Linked DNA regions of Oryctolagus cuniculus. The protein of the gene in region 2 interacts with the protein of the main gene of each other region in a pairwise test. Links are inferred from orthologs where the notes say so. Each region holds a gene or a part of one and is shown on either strand. Other genes may lie near its edges.

Region 1 (7,704 bases), on a different chromosome or scaffold from region 2:
GGAAGTCAATGCTGTCTCCATTGACAGTTTACTCGTTGCTTTAACTTCTTAATCAAATAGACTTACAACACAAATTTTAAGAAAAAGGTAACATTCACATTCAAGTATTTAAAAGGTACAGTGAGAAGTCCCCCTCCCCTCCAGAAAGAAGTCAACCACCCATTTCCCTTCCCCAGAGGCAACCATTCTTCCTTTCAAAATTCCACATTTTCAAAAGAAGCTAATGCAGAAGTCCTTCAGCTGCAGAAACTTACCAGAACCTTACAAATTTCACTAGGCAGCTGTAGGAATCCTACTCACCTGAATATTTCAAACCTTTCCCTCACCACCTCCTCCCCTGTAAACAAAACAATTTGTTCACTTGATTCCTTTAGGGTTGAGGATCATATTTCATATCAACAGCATTCACTAACGCTCAAAAAAAATAAAAAATCACATGATCTAATCAGTCCAACTATCACGTTAGCATCTGTAAAGTGTAAAGCTTTTTCTTGGAATTCATGCACTTAAAATAAGATATGTAGGAATTCTCCAAAAGTGCATAATTAAATACCACTAACATGGATCCTTCAGCACCTGCTTTATTAATGCAAAACCCCTAGGTGCCACTCTAGATAAAAGACAACCAAAGTGGGAATACAAACTTTAACTGGCATTACAACTAATTATGTACACAAGTTAACTGGTATGAACTTTATAAACAGAAGAAACTCTGGATATGAATAATCTCTACTTTGCCATTCAGTGACTACCCAACCTCTAAGCCTACTCAGCTGTAAAACAGTAGTACCTATACCTAACTGGAACACAGTAAGAATTACTTCAAAGTGCTGGATCTGCCTCACAGTAAGCATTCACTGGTTGTTACTGATTTTCATAAAACCAAGACATAGAAATTATGAAATGAACCTTAAAGGACAGAAAACATTTCTAAGTCTTAAAAGGAAACAACGTCTGTTAAAAATTCTCTTCCAAAGTCAAAGGCTTTGAAAAGTTAAATACCATTAATATAAGGTATACTATTAAATACTATTAATATAAAGTATCCTCATAAAGAACTTCCTTTATCAGTTCGGAAAAATGTCATATTTGAAGATCTCCACCATTTTCTTAAAATTTCCCCCCTAAAAAACAAGGCACCAACCTAAGAAGTGTTTCCCATAGAGGGACTTAGGAACAAGAGAAAAAGTGGAAGGGATCTAACATCAAATATTAGTTCACCATGAAAAATTTAAGAACTCTGAAAAATCGATCTAATTCATGGTGGGAAGATCTTAGCATTTTTTTTTTTTTACCATTTCGTACTGTTTTTTACCACCCCTTCATACAAAAAGGTCATCTGTTTTAATACCTTAATAAAGCTGTCAGAAATTACCTGAACAGTTTATTAACTATTCAGGATAATCCATCTCAACCTTTCTTTGCTGTAACAATGTCATGTCTAATCACCGCTCTGCTTGAAGAATTCCAAGTGTTAACACCAATTAAAAATACCAGCAGTTGAAATAGGAAGATAAACTAGTCAATTCTGTATGACTTTAAATACAAGGGCACTGCAAAAAGTTCATGGAAAATGGAAATATTTTGATTAAAAAACCTGAAATCCAGGCATATAGTCCCCCCCCTTGTTATAAAATTCCCATGACTTTTTGAAGGCCCTTGATATTGCCTCTATTTAAACCAATATCTACAATACAAAAAGCTACCAGACTGCTTCACCAATGTTGTAGACCTGAGGGGAGAGAGGGAATTAGCATGTAGGATGACCGCTAATGGGTATAGCAATCTTTGAGTGATAAATTCTAGTGATGGTTACAAAACCGTCCATGCACTAAACCCCAAAGAACTTAACATTTTAAATGGGTGAAGTTTGATTTGCTCATTATCTCAAAGCTACTTTTTTAAAAGAACATCTAATAGAGATTAACTGAAATACAGAACTCCCCTAACATGGAAAACTATTTTATTTGTTGAAGTGTCATACAGGATCTGATGTATCAAAAAAAATAATTTTCTAAAAACTAGGAATGGCCTGGGGGGGAGGAAGCACCATGAGTGCCAAAGGAACTTTTTCCATTTTTAATATAATGCCAAAAAATAAAAGAGAATGAACTTTTTGACAAAAAAATTGGCAAACATGTTTAACGCAAATTTTACTTGGTTCCTCTTTTTCTGAAGTTCTTGCTCCTCAATTTTAAATTAGAAAATCAGACACCACTAATATCTAAAGGAGCCTAGTCTTCAAAAATTATAAATACGTTTACTAGGACCAAGGTTTTACCTACTGCAGTCCACTCCTGTTTACCAGGTAAGACATCAAAAGGTAACATTATTGCTTAAAAATGCAATTAGATTTCCAGACTATGATAGAAAGATGGCCAGTAAAAAACAGGTGTGTATGGTAGTTTAACACAATCAGAAAAGCTGTGGGTCATCTCCTACTAAAAAAATCTGAGCTGGTTTCACAAACTCCACGAAAATCTGCGTCTCAAGCTAAGATTTAGTTAAACTTATCCTCGATTAAAGCATCACAAAACATTTTCAACAGCACGCAGTTTTTTTCTGGTTCTAAAACTGGAAAAGTAGGTAACACTTCCCGTAAAGACTTACAGGTATTTTTTAAACCGCTTATTCTTAAGCCTGGCCCCTCGTCTCTATCTTCAAGGAAAATTACCAAGCCAGCTCTCCGATGTTCTGAGCCCTCCCCCATCGCACTGCCATGTGACTGAGCTTACATTATGCCGTAGTGTTCAGAACGCTTATTTCCTGTTCAAAGTATTAATATACTTCTGTATCAAGTATTTTACTTCTACGGCCTTCATGGTAAGGGAAAATATTATCTGCACAAAATACTCTTCGAGATTTAATAGCGACTCAACTCCTACATACATAAACACATTTTGGCCATCGCTGGCTGTGTTTTAACAACTGTTTTCCAAAAGCAAAACTCCTACTTAAAAACAAATTCCAACCCATCTGTGCCAAACTACACAAAGCCATTGCTAAGCCACCCACCCACCCCGGCCCAAAAGTCCAAAAAGTGCTCACAGTTCACTGGGCCTCGACGGCCTCTTTGAAACATGCCCATTTCACAGTCCTATTCGGTAAGTCCCCCAGCTTGCTGCTGGCAAAATCACCCAAAGTCGTTACAAACGTTCAAGCGTGAGAAAACAACCTCTTTGGAAAATGAGTACGTACTCTTTTCGAAGTTCCAAATCTGGAATCTAAGGGCCGGCTAAGCGTCCTTTATTCCTCCCCGGAGGCTTTCCGTTTATCTAGCTGCCCTAGAGACCGGAGAGCTCGGGAGAGCGCGCCCCTACCCCCTCCCCGGCCGGCAGCCAAGCTGGGCTTAAAAACCTTCGCCACCGGGCGGCGGAAGTACAAAGGAGGCCGTCTGCCTCCTTTGTCCTGGATTTGGGAGCTGAGCGCCTCCGTCGCCATTGGCTTTCCTGCCCCAGCTCCGGCCTCTCTCATCTTGGGAATCTGCGTCAGAAGTCACCGGCAGTCCCGCCAGGTAGCCCTGCCGAGGCTGCGGAGGAAGGGAGGCTGCGGTGGGAGGCCAGGCCCATCCGGCGCCATTTCCATCGGGAGCGCGCCCGGCGGCAGCCCTGACCCTCCCCCCAGCCCCGCTGCCGGGCCTGGCCCTGCTCGCTTCGCGCCCACCCTCATCCCCTGCCAGGGAGCTGGACCACCCCCCGCCCCCGGCCCCGGCCAGCTCAATCCGTCTTTCCAAAGCTGGGAACAAGAAGTAGAAGGAACGGGGAAGGGCGGGAAGCCAAGGTGGCCGCGCCACCGTACCCAAAATGGCGGAGGCCAAACCAGCAAGGCAGAGAGAAGGGCTGGACGCCCTCCACTTCGGGCCTCCGCGTCGTCCACCGAGCTCCACCCGAGCAAGTCCTCGCCCGGCAGGCCGCCCTCCTAGAAGTGGGAGATCGCCCGGGAGGCGCAGCCCCGCCCGCCTCCGAGCGGCGACCTCCACACTTCCCCCCCGCCCCACCCCCTCCTGGGTCTCGTCCTTCTCCCGACTCCGCTCTCGAAACCACCAGCCCAACCTACCCCCTTTTACTTCAGATACCCTGTCGGGCGATAGAAGCGCCGACGCCGGTGCTCGTGAGGGTCCGGTCGTGAGGAGGGGGCAGTCGTTCGCCTCGTGCGGCGCTCCCTACAACGGTCCTCCCAACCGTCTCCAGCAGTGGCAACCGCTAAGGGAGCTGCGCAGCAGAGCGACTGGCTTGGGGGGATGGGAGAGAGGGAGCGAGAAGGAGGGGGCGGAGCGAGCGCGACGAAAGCCGGCCTCAGGGTCTCGCGAGACCGGTCCCGCCTTGACGCGGCCCGGGCGAAGTGCGCTTGCGCGTCAGCGGGCCGCTCCGCGGAAAAGTGAAGAGCCGCCCTACTCGGACGGCTTAGTGAGGGAGCCGGGTTGACTCCGCCTTTCTTGCTCACCTTACCACCGTCTAAAGCTCAGAGTACACCTTTCTGTACCCTCGGGGAGGAGGAGAGAGGGGCGGAGGCGCTCCCGTTACTGTGTTTTGAAGGAAGTTCCCCAGTGCTAGGCTCCACAGCCAGCAAATTCCATAGAGGCCCCACCTTCTTCCCCGCGTCAAGTGCGTGGAAATGGCGCCACGTGACTCGGCCGCCAAAGGCCGAGAGGGCTCTTTCCTTCCACCATGTTTGCGTTATGTAGTAAAAAACGGGACTCTGCCGAGAGACAAAAATGTCCACAGGCCCGATTTCGGCTTCAGGACGGGGTCCTCCTGCCCCCCAACGGAGCCGCCTCCGCGTGCGCGGCGTAGGCCGGCGAGTCTATCCTGCTCTCGGCGTTTCCCTCCTCGCCCCAGATCGCTCCTCGCTGTCTCCTCCGCCTTCGCGGAACCTTTCAGTCGCTCATGGAGCCCTACTGCGTGTTTTCTAAATACGGCTTTGCATTCTTGAAAATTGCATTTGCAAGTGTCCCCTGATAAGTACTTTTTGTTTGTGCTGTCAGGCCACCCAGGTTCCTAATGACACGTCCTGGTTCTTTTTTCCTAACTGTAAAAAAAACATGCAAGCTGAATTTCCGTGGGAGGAGTGGAGGGTAATCCTGGTAAAAAGACCATGTGCGTTGAAGTGGAGATAGGAACCTGCTTGGAGAGCGAGCGAGAGAAGTCGGTTTGGATCACAGTAGAGAGTTGCTGAAGGTTGGAAATGTGGACGAAGCTAGGTTATAACCTACCTAAAAATTCCCAGCCAAAAGATTTGGGGCGTGGTGCAAGAGGCATTTGCCCTCCCGTTGGGAGTGGGGTGAAGGGCGTTAGCAGTGGAGGAGGGTAGTATTCTGTGCCCTGTGAGATCCGCAGCGTGTGCGGTGGAGACGCGAGGCCACTTAGCTTCGAGGAAAAGAAGCTTGCACTTCATGGCTTTAATTCATCCTCACCCCTGCCGAAGACCAATGTGGGACTACAAAAATTACCCAGTTTATAGTGCCTGACTGCCATTCTTGAGTTTCACTCCCTCAGAATCCCGCTCTGAGGAAGCCGGAGCCGCAGAGTGTGATCCCTATCACAAGAGATGAAAAAACAAAATGAGGATGCTGTAGTAATAGCTGTCACAAGTATTGAGAGCTTGCTTGAGCTAAGCAATGTACTCGATTCACCAACTCTTTACATTTTTCCTAAAATATATTTTCATTTCTATTGGAAAGGCAGGGAGATCTTTCACTCACTGGATCACTCCAAATGCCAGCAAGAGCCAGGCACTACAATGGCTCCCTACAACCCTGAACACTAACCACTATTATCATCTTCATTTTACACTTGAAGTGCCTGAGCCCTGGAGATGTGGAAATAGTTGCCTGAGATCACACAGCTGAGTGGCACAAGTAGGATTCAAATCCAGATGGTATTACACCAAGGGTTAGGGTCTTAAGGCACTGAACCTTCCTGGGGTTGCAAGTAACTTATCCATGAGTGAAGTGAACAGGCAGCATTTTTAGGCAAATCACAGTTCTTCCCATGACAACACTAGAGTTGCCATCACTGGGGACCTGTGGTTCTTGGCTTATTGGCTAGAGACTTTTGAACAGTCCAAAAACTTGATTGTCCTGCTGTCACTTCACCTCTTTTTTTTTTTTTTAATTGCTGTTAGTAAGGAAGCTTTCATGCTTCAGGTGAGGTTTTCCCTTGACCCCCTCCCCCGTGGTTTGAGTTACATCACTACTTCATCCTTTCAGTCTTTCAACCTGATTTGACAGAATTCTGAAATCTCTTGCCTGAATTCAGTTTATTTACTAGCCTGATTAGATTTGGCATTCTTTCCACATAGCAGGACACTTCAAAAAACTCATAGAAAATGGAATTAAAAGTTTATTGTGGTGCAAAAAATTCTGAAATCCTTTTATACACAAGTATTTACTTTGTGTGGTTATAAGCTACAACCCCAAAATCATTCTAATGATATGAATGACTTTTCACCACCAACGGTGGACGTTTTCTTTGTTTTTGAAGTAATTTCGTTGTTTTGGGCACTCTTTTGCCAATATGAATGCTTAAGAAAGAATTGAAATTAGTGCCTGCATTCCTTTTGCCTTTTTATTATTACAGCAAGTAGGAAGTTTTCATTTTAAAAAAATACACTATAGTGGTAAATGTAATTTTTATCTGACCTATTTTATTTTCTCTAAAACAGTCTATCAACTACTATATTCTGATTTGCAAGTTGAATCCTGTAAGTAAGCGTTGGTGAGATTGGTTCCCCGATGCTCCAGTGATCTCTAGGGAATTGTTTCCAGATCGATCTCTGTGGCACTGTTACCATAGAGATGCTTAGAACTGAGGACTCCCAGCTGCTTTTGGATGATTTTTTTTCTCTTTGTCTTCCTTTCAGTCATTTGGTGCTATTCTATTAGCATAAAGATCAGAGGGACCCTGGAGAGGATCTTGTTAGAGGCCATAATGAAAGGAAAAAGATGAAAAGGAGAAGGAAATAAGAGTCCCCACACCACCCAGAGGAAAACCAGACAGTGAGCACGTGACCATGTGTTACACCATCAGGATGAAGAGGGAAGGAAAATCCCACGCAGAGCCTTAGAGAAAGAGGAAGAAAGAGACGGAAACAGACTACACTCTTCTGGGGGAGGAAAGGACGTTGAAAATTAGTTGTTAGTTGTCCATATACCCCCCAAAGGTATTGCAAAGTGCCATAAAAACTGGATTATCACAATCATTTTGCCTACATGAAAGGCAAATAAACTAAAACGTAACAAAACTGTTTCTAGGAGTGTGTCTAATTAAGGTAGCTAAGCCTTTTGAACGCTGATCTGTTATTAAAGCTTTGTGAAATGCTTGTGCTTTGATTTCTGACATATGTATCTACTTTCCTTACAAAACACTGATCTCCTTTGTCATGATTCAGTGTTGTTTCTCTAGCCTTCGTTACACAGTTTATATTCTTGATTTTGTTTTCTTGGTATTTTTTGGTTTCTCAAGGATACCTAAGTGTTCATTGTGGGAGTATGGGAACCAAAATACTTCATTCAATTTTCATAATTAAAATACAGAAATGGAAACTCAAAAGGAAGAAAACACCTAGCATTCTTTCTCTGATTTTTGAAAATTAGAAGTATTGAACATTCTTCTTTTTTTTTTTTTTTTTTTGACAGCAGAGTGGACAGTGAGAGAGAGAGACAGAGAGAAAGGTCTTCCTTTTGCCGTTGGTTCACCCTCCAAT
Region 2 (7,490 bases):
AACCCTGCTGTTCACTGAGGCTTGCCTTGGGGCAGCTCGTGTGGGGGTTGGGCCAGAACCTTTTTTCCCTGACCTCTCACCTCCAGCCCTGTCCCAGCTTTGGTCTATAAAGCGTTCTGCACAAACAGCCTTCTACTGCGTCTACCTTTGCGATGATGGTGAAGCTGGGCGCTCAGAGCACTACTTGTTGGGGTCCAGGGCTGGGCGGATGCTGCCAGGTTCATTCTCTTTTCCCTCCAGAGCTCGCCTGAGAAGTCAAGAAAACGTGGGCTTCAAGAGGGTGGAGATCCAGCCGTCTAAACTCCTTTAGTCAGGGGCGTGGATCGTCTGAGGAGCTCCCCGCCCCATTTCCTGGGAGCCCCACAAACTGGTGATGCCCTGAGATCTCTTTGGAACACACACACACACACACACACAGCCTTTCATTCTGTCCTGCCCCCACTTCACCTCTCAGCCTGGGTGCTGAAGTGCCAGGGCTCTCAGGAGGCTGGGCGAGCGGTTCTCCACTCGGGAATCTGACCAGACACCACAGCTTTAGAGGTTTCACACCACGGGGCTCCACAGTGGAATCAAACACGTACGTCCTGTAGAACTTCCTCTTCCTGGTTCTATCACAGCCCAGCACCAGTCGCTGCCTTGGGGCCCTCCACTTCTACATCCTCAGATGTGCGTTGTTAGGTGCTCTCCCTGCACCCTTGAAACAGATACAGGGACCTGGAGTTTGGCTCCTTAGGCGCATCACCTAAAATCCAACCAGCCCTCCCTCTACACATCTCCTTGAACTCAAGGGGATCCCGATTTCCCACTTCGGCACATCCACGGCTCCACACCTGAAACACCTTACTGTTACCCTTCAACCCGGTTTTCCTATCATCCCACAGGGAATCCTCATCCCAGGTCTGATGCAAGTATAGATGGGCAGCTCCAAGAGCCCACAGCAGGGACAGGGCACAGGCGGTGGGTGCTCAAGCCCACTGAGAAACATGCCGTGTAGCCAAGCTTTATGGAATGAAAGCAACCCGAGTTTCCTGTTAGTACAGGGCCCACTTGTCAACTTTGTCTCAGAGAACTGAAAACGTTCACATGTTAAGTTGTAAAATGCAGAGCTAACTGCTCAAGTTTTAAAATTCATCTTTGGGTAGAATGAAAAAAATCCAATGTCCCGAACACAACCCACAGGCAAATTCAACTATTTACCTGACCTCATCACTTCAAGCCCTAGGACCTGAAGGTGCAGCCTCCTCTCAGATTGTTACCAGGCAAGACCATTCTGGAGCTGCCACGTCGACCTATAGCCAAGCTGGGAACATCAACTTGGACCAGAGGTCTTACCTTGAATTCCCTCATTTGTATAAAACAAAGCACAGCACATGAAACCTAAAGCCATTTAATATAAATAAATGCAAAACCTCTCCTGGCCAACTTGTCAAACAAGTAGAGCTCTTCAAAAGGCTATCCTGTGGTGTTCCAGCCCAGATGTTGGGATGCAGAGTTCCCCTAACCCACACCTCACTCTTCCTCTGCTGAACAGGCTGGGCCAATCTTTCTGGAATGCAGAAAGATAGAAAGCATTTGCTGGAGCACAATTACTGCTTCTGAATGCTTGTCTCATCAGCTTGTCAGCGCGATCTACCACGTGAACTTCACAAATCCTAGCTCCCAAGACTCAACACAGCTCACTGGCGGCTGGCTTCCCAAGCCAGGAGTGGAGACATGGCTGTTGGAGCAGCCTGACACTGGCTTGCTGTCCGAGTGCCCACTGGCTCTAAACCATGATCCTGAATGCGGCAGTGTCAATGCAGCACACCGTCTCAGTCAGGAACCAACCCCCATTTAAAAGCTGCCATGTTGGGCAGCTTGTTCTGCCCCCAGAAGGGAAAGGCAGTCAGTTGATCTGAGACATGGAGTCAAGGCAACTGCCTGTGGCTGGTGCCACCACACAGCAAGTTAAAGCCCCAGTCTGTGGTGCTGGCATCCCACATCGTTGTGGTCCAAGTCCCAGTGGCTCCACTTCTAATCCAGTTCTCTGCTATGGTCTGGGAAAGCAGTGGAAGATGGCCAAGTCCTTGGGCCCCTGCACCTGCATGGGGGATCCAAGAGGCTCCAGGCTTTGGATTTTTACAGCTCTGGCTGTTGTAATCTGGAGAGCAAACCAGAATATGGAAGATCTTTCTCTGCCTCAATGTCTTACCAAGACCAGTTTATCACTGATATCCTACATTTTTGAATCCCTAATTTAAAATGGGAAAATAACATGAAGCAGACCAAGTATTTATAAAATGATTTATTATTCATAAAGCTCATTCACAAAATGGAATGAATAATTAGAGCTGCAAAACAGCTAGTATCAACTGCATAGCAGTGAGAAATGGAGTGGCTCAAAGGTTGTCCTCACAAGGATGTTCCTGCAAAGGAAAGAGAGGGGTGAAGTCGTTAACGCATTAGGACAGGGCTCTGTCATCAGCTAACTGCCACCACTGGGAATCTGGCTGCTTTGGTTATGGACAATTGGACCTTGTGCTTGGGTGTTGGTAATTCTCCCTTTGACTTTGGAAATATGGAGAACTCTTGGCTGGCCATTATTTTATAGAAACTTACCTTTCTAGCCATGGACAGGAGTTTCTGGGTTTAATTATAATTATTTTTTTAATAAGAGCTGATAAGCGTGTAGCAGATTCTTCCCTAGAAAAGTAAACAGCCTTTAGAACTGGCTCTTTTCGAAGACAGAGTCCCATCAAGCTAAACCACCCCCACCCACTAATGGTCCACCCACCCAGCCCTCCCCCCATTTTGGGAAGATTCCAATATATTAATTTGAGCCATTATTTCAAGGAAATGGGTAAAAGGACAGCAAATAAAATTAAAGGGCAAAAATAGATTATCACAGAATTAATTACTTTCTTCAATTAGGAGCCACCAATAGGGTGTCAATTTCTCCAGAAAAACCAAGTTCAGCTTAACTGGACTAGTTTTGGCTCAATATATTAAGGAAAATTTAACAGAATACTGGATTTTAGGTTAACTTTATGGATGTAAGTAAAATCTGTTCTTACCTACCAGCATAGCAATAAAACCTTTCCTCCTGGTTCTGACTGCTAGTCCTAAGAGTCAGGTGTGCCTTACTCTCGTCTGCCTCCTTTCTGGCGATGGTCACTCAAACTTCACTTCCTCCTAGCTTTCATGGAGGGTGCCGTGGCCTGCCCCTGGCTTATCTGTGCTCCACATACCACAAGTGTCTACTCTCAGCTGTAGAGTCTGAGCTCGGAGCCATTCGCGCTATGCTTGCTAGCAGTTCCTAGTAGCTGAACATCTCTCCTGGATCTTTAAAGGCATTGTCACGAATCCTGATGTATCTGCAAACTCCCTCAACAGTTAAAGGTTCCACCTGCTATTGCAAACTCAGCCAGTATCATGAACTACCGTCCACGCTCACCCACCCCCCACCACCTTCCACCCACCTCCCTCCCACCCTCCTCCCCAATGTTCCAACACACCCCTGGGATGGCATATACAGTCCTACTAGTAAACAATGATCTATACTACTAGATACAATGGCACTGAAATTAAAGAGGGTAGGCTTCAAAGAACCTATTTACAAATAACAATTATTGGGTATCCATGAACTATGAAAGGTTTAGAAATCATTATCTATATATACAATTAACACTTTCAGATGATTGTGTGGTCTTGTGTCATGTTTAAAGGAAAACTGCAGTTAATATGAAATTATACAGAAACATTTGTTCCTCCCACTTCATGGTTTTAATCCCCCCAACCAGTGTAATCAACATACATTTCCACAGACCGACCCACCCACACACCGACCCATGACCCAGCAGAACTGCAGTTTTCCTTTAATAAAAACCTGTTTATATTGAATTCAAGTCTTACTGGTACCGGTATTTTTTAAGAAATGTCTCTTAAAACACTTCTAAATCTTTGTGGACTTAATGGAGTGGAAGCATTAGCCAGCAGCTGGCTTCTATTCTCTGGCAGAGTTTTGAACTTGCATTGTGGTAGGATTCAACATTATCAGGGGTGGAGGGTAGGGAAAAGTCCAAATCTCTGCCAGTCCCAAATCCATACAGTTGTCATTCCATTCAAGAGAATTAAATCGTTTATTGATTACACATGATAATGGATGATACACAGCTTCATTCCCATCTGTAATTTTATCTGGTACCATTATTCAATTTAGATATATTGCAAAGGATGTGCCAACAATCATTCTTATAACCAAATAACCCCATGACTTTGCTTGGGTGGCTTTTAATGGTGAACTTCAGAAGGTCACAACAGTAACTCATGTATCTGAGAACAGCTTCTCCACCCGAGCATTTTGTAAATAAATCTCAAATGGAACCTGGCATCACCCTGATGAATTCTGACTTTACACTTTTTGGGGAAGTTTACCAAGATGGCTTCAGAGTAGACTAACTTTACACAGCACATTTAAAAAAAAGACACATTTATTCAGCGTCATGATCAGACTATTACATTTAGCAATCAACAGCATGGGTGCAAAAGAAAAAAAAAGAAAAAACTACATTAAAACCCTTTGTTGGAATGCTTTACACTTTCCACAGAACAGAAACTAAAATAACCTGTTATACAATTAGTCACAAATACAGTCCTCGAGTTTTTTTGCCCATACACATGAGTATTGTCTAAAACATGTCTTCTTTGTAGCAGCTAGGCCCTGCCACCACTGTGCTTGGCTGAGTTCACAAATCTGTTGTAACCTGTAGCTTCCCTGTCACTTCTCTGGCTCTCCTCTCCTGCTAAGCTTTGTTTCCTGTTGAACAATATGGAATAAAGTTGTTAATCTAAACATATTAAGACTCAAGGCTACAATCCAATATTAAGTTGTTTCCCACAAATTTTGCTCATCTGAATTATCAATATTATCTGAACTTAATACCCACAATTTTACTGCAATATTATAATGTTAACTATGCCACACTGCTTAGCTACATTAGGGTTTAGCAGCGATTATAAAAACTTAAAAAAAAAAGCACACACAAAAAAAGGTGTTTACTTACCTGGCAGTTATTAAAACCTTCTGCCACTGCCATAGCTGCTGCTGCTGCTAGAACCACCATAGCCACCTAGAACAAGATTGGGCCTTTTAACCTCTCAAGTGCCCACGGCAAAAGCCCTGCTTTCATGTTCAATGGGATGAGACAAGTTCAAACTTAGGAGTGACTATTTAACAGCCTTAGCGAAACCTGACAAGGGCAGCACCATCAGCTATGCACCCAACAAACCAACTCCTTTCCCTTTTACTTGCTCATCTCCCAGTTACATTCATACCATACCTTGATTTCGTGGTTTGGCAAAATATTGGCCGCCACCACCATAGGGGCCAGAGCTTCTGCCTCCAAAATTTCCTCCCTTCATGGGTCCAAAATTTGAAGATTGATTGTTGTAATTGCCAAAATCATTGTAGCCTCCGCTGCCTCCAAAATTGCTTCCTAGGGAACAGAAAGATGGCCTTTGTGTGTTACTTGAGAAGGTGACTGAGAGTACCCAATTCTGCTCAGTGTTCAGAATTAAAGCTTTTATTATCTGCCTGCTTCCTCCCAAACTCAGGTGGCTGCACATCTGCATTTTCATTCTCTGGACAAGGCATTCAGTTGAATAATCCAGAAGTTTTACAAAGCAACCCAGTTCACCGCATTAGAAGTTGAATTTTTCCTAGTGGCAACTAGAGGTGTACTCTCTAGCCTCACAGGCCTTTGTGCATGCATCCAGGCCACTGCCAACGGTCAACGGTCTTGGATGTATCAACTAAGTGCCTGCGGTCCCAAGGAGTTCCACACACTAAACCCTGCCAAGATGCTAACTCACTCACATCACAGACACCACTACCCGCTTAGCATCTACTTATTTGGGAGTGAGGCGGCCCCAGCTTAAAGCTAGGAGGAGGTAGCACAGCAAGCTCATTTCCTTTTAATATACCATGCAGTGTACCACACAATGCTTTAAGAGCTTCCAATCGCAATATGGGCATTAAAATGCTAAAACACTAATCTAGCTATCAGACCAAGTACTTGGATCACTCGATACCTACCACTACCACCGCCAAAGCCGCCTCCGCCGTTGTTATAGCTGTCATAGCTGCCACTCCCGCCATAGCCACTGCCCTGGTTTCCATAACCCTGTCCACCACTTCCATAGCCTCTGCTTCCTCCAGAGTAACCAGGGCCGCCTCCTCCATAACCACCTATAAGAATACAATTCTTCTCAATAAGACAAAAGTATTTAACAATCAAAATCGGTTCAAGTGTAATGGCTAAAGGCCTGCGCAAAGCATGCTTATTATGGGTTCAGTTGAGCTTATCATGCACTAGCAGTTAACAGTTTCTATCATCCTAATCTAGTAACACAAGTTGCCAGAAACATTTTTACCTATGTATTCTTTAAAGACTTACCGTCATTACCAAATCCATTGTAACCATCCCCACTGCCACCATAACCACCTCCACCGCGGCTGCCGCCGAAGCCACCTGGAAGAAAGCAAACACGTGCAGCAGGTTTAGAGCATATGAATTGCGTGGTACGCTCTGGAAGCGCTCCCTGCACTGTGACAACGATTGGCACACCGGAGTAACTTCTGGTTAGTTACAGGCCAGAGCTGCATTTTAGATAAAACTTAACTTCGGAAACGTAGGCCATTTGTTATATGCTACTACAGGTTACAGAAAAAAAAGGGACAAGTCATCTAGGGTCAAGAAACCACAAGCTCTCTAGAGTTAACCTTAGCTAACCATACATACCACGACCACTGAAGTTTCCTCCACGACCAAAGTTGTCATTGCCACCAAAACCACCTCCACGACCACCACCAAAGTTTCCAGAACCACTTCGACCTTGAGAGATAAGTGTTAAACCATACAGATTGGAAAAACTCAAAGTTACCTTAACGTCCGACTAAGCAATAGACATACCTCTCGGGGTGGACGAAGCGCTGGCCATCTCCTGCTTCGACAGGGCCTTCCTCACTTCACAGTTGTGGCCGTTCACAGTGTGGTATTTCTGAACTGAAATTTGATGACAAACAGCCCGGGGTTAGAGTGGAATGCCACGTGCGTTGCAGAAAGCCCGCAAAGTGCCTGGGATCTGATACTCACTGACAATCTTATCCACGGAGTCATGGTCGTCGAAGGTCACAAAAGCAAAGCCCCTCTTCTTGCCACTGCCTCGATCAGTCATGATCTCAATCACCTCGATTTTCCCGTACTGCTCAAAGTAATCTCGGAGGTGATGCTCTTCAGTGTCTTCTTTAATGCCACCCACGAAGATCTTTTTCACAGTGAGGTGGGCACCTGGTCTTTGGGAATCCTACCGAGCCGAGAACCACGAGTTACTCTAAATGGCAAAATCTGTGTCCTTTATCAAGTACTTGAAAGGGTCCAGATGGCTCCCCAATGGCAAGCCTATTACCACAACCGATGGGGGTTTGGGGGCCCACTTACTTCTCTCGACAC

The links.
Region 1: the proteins of HNRNPA1 (region 2) and HNRNPH3 interact in binary tests that used the Homo sapiens proteins (3 or more experiments, as listed by UniProt). The link is inferred for Oryctolagus cuniculus from reciprocal best matches to the Homo sapiens genes HNRNPA1 and HNRNPH3.

The regions. Positions count from the first base shown.
Region 1 is NC_091446.1:60,232,709-60,240,412, reverse strand, and holds the start of HNRNPH3 (heterogeneous nuclear ribonucleoprotein H3), read right to left. Parts: upstream 4,598-7,704; 5' UTR 4,057-4,597; intron 3,985-4,056; exon of another isoform or gene 3,799-3,984; intron 3,515-3,798; coding exon of another isoform or gene 3,289-3,514; exon of another isoform or gene 3,199-3,288; intron 3,105-3,198; coding exon of another isoform or gene 3,081-3,104; intron 168-3,080; exon of another isoform or gene 1-167. Other genes in the region: PBLD (phenazine biosynthesis-like domain-containing protein), read left to right, coding at 3,081-3,104, 3,289-3,514.
Region 2 is NC_091442.1:57,218,408-57,225,897, reverse strand, and holds the end of HNRNPA1 (heterogeneous nuclear ribonucleoprotein A1), read right to left. Parts: coding exon 7,479-7,490; intron 7,345-7,478; coding exon 7,134-7,344; intron 7,044-7,133; coding exon 6,951-7,043; intron 6,873-6,950; coding exon 6,780-6,872; intron 6,510-6,779; coding exon 6,435-6,509; intron 6,227-6,434; coding exon 6,074-6,226; intron 5,475-6,073; coding exon 5,319-5,474; intron 5,109-5,318; coding exon 5,053-5,108; 3' UTR 5,043-5,052; intron 4,796-5,042; exon of another isoform or gene 4,100-4,795; intron 2,683-4,099; 3' UTR 2,270-2,682; downstream 1-2,269. UniProt on the Homo sapiens protein: Involved in the packaging of pre-mRNA into hnRNP particles, transport of poly(A) mRNA from the nucleus to the cytoplasm and modulation of splice site selection.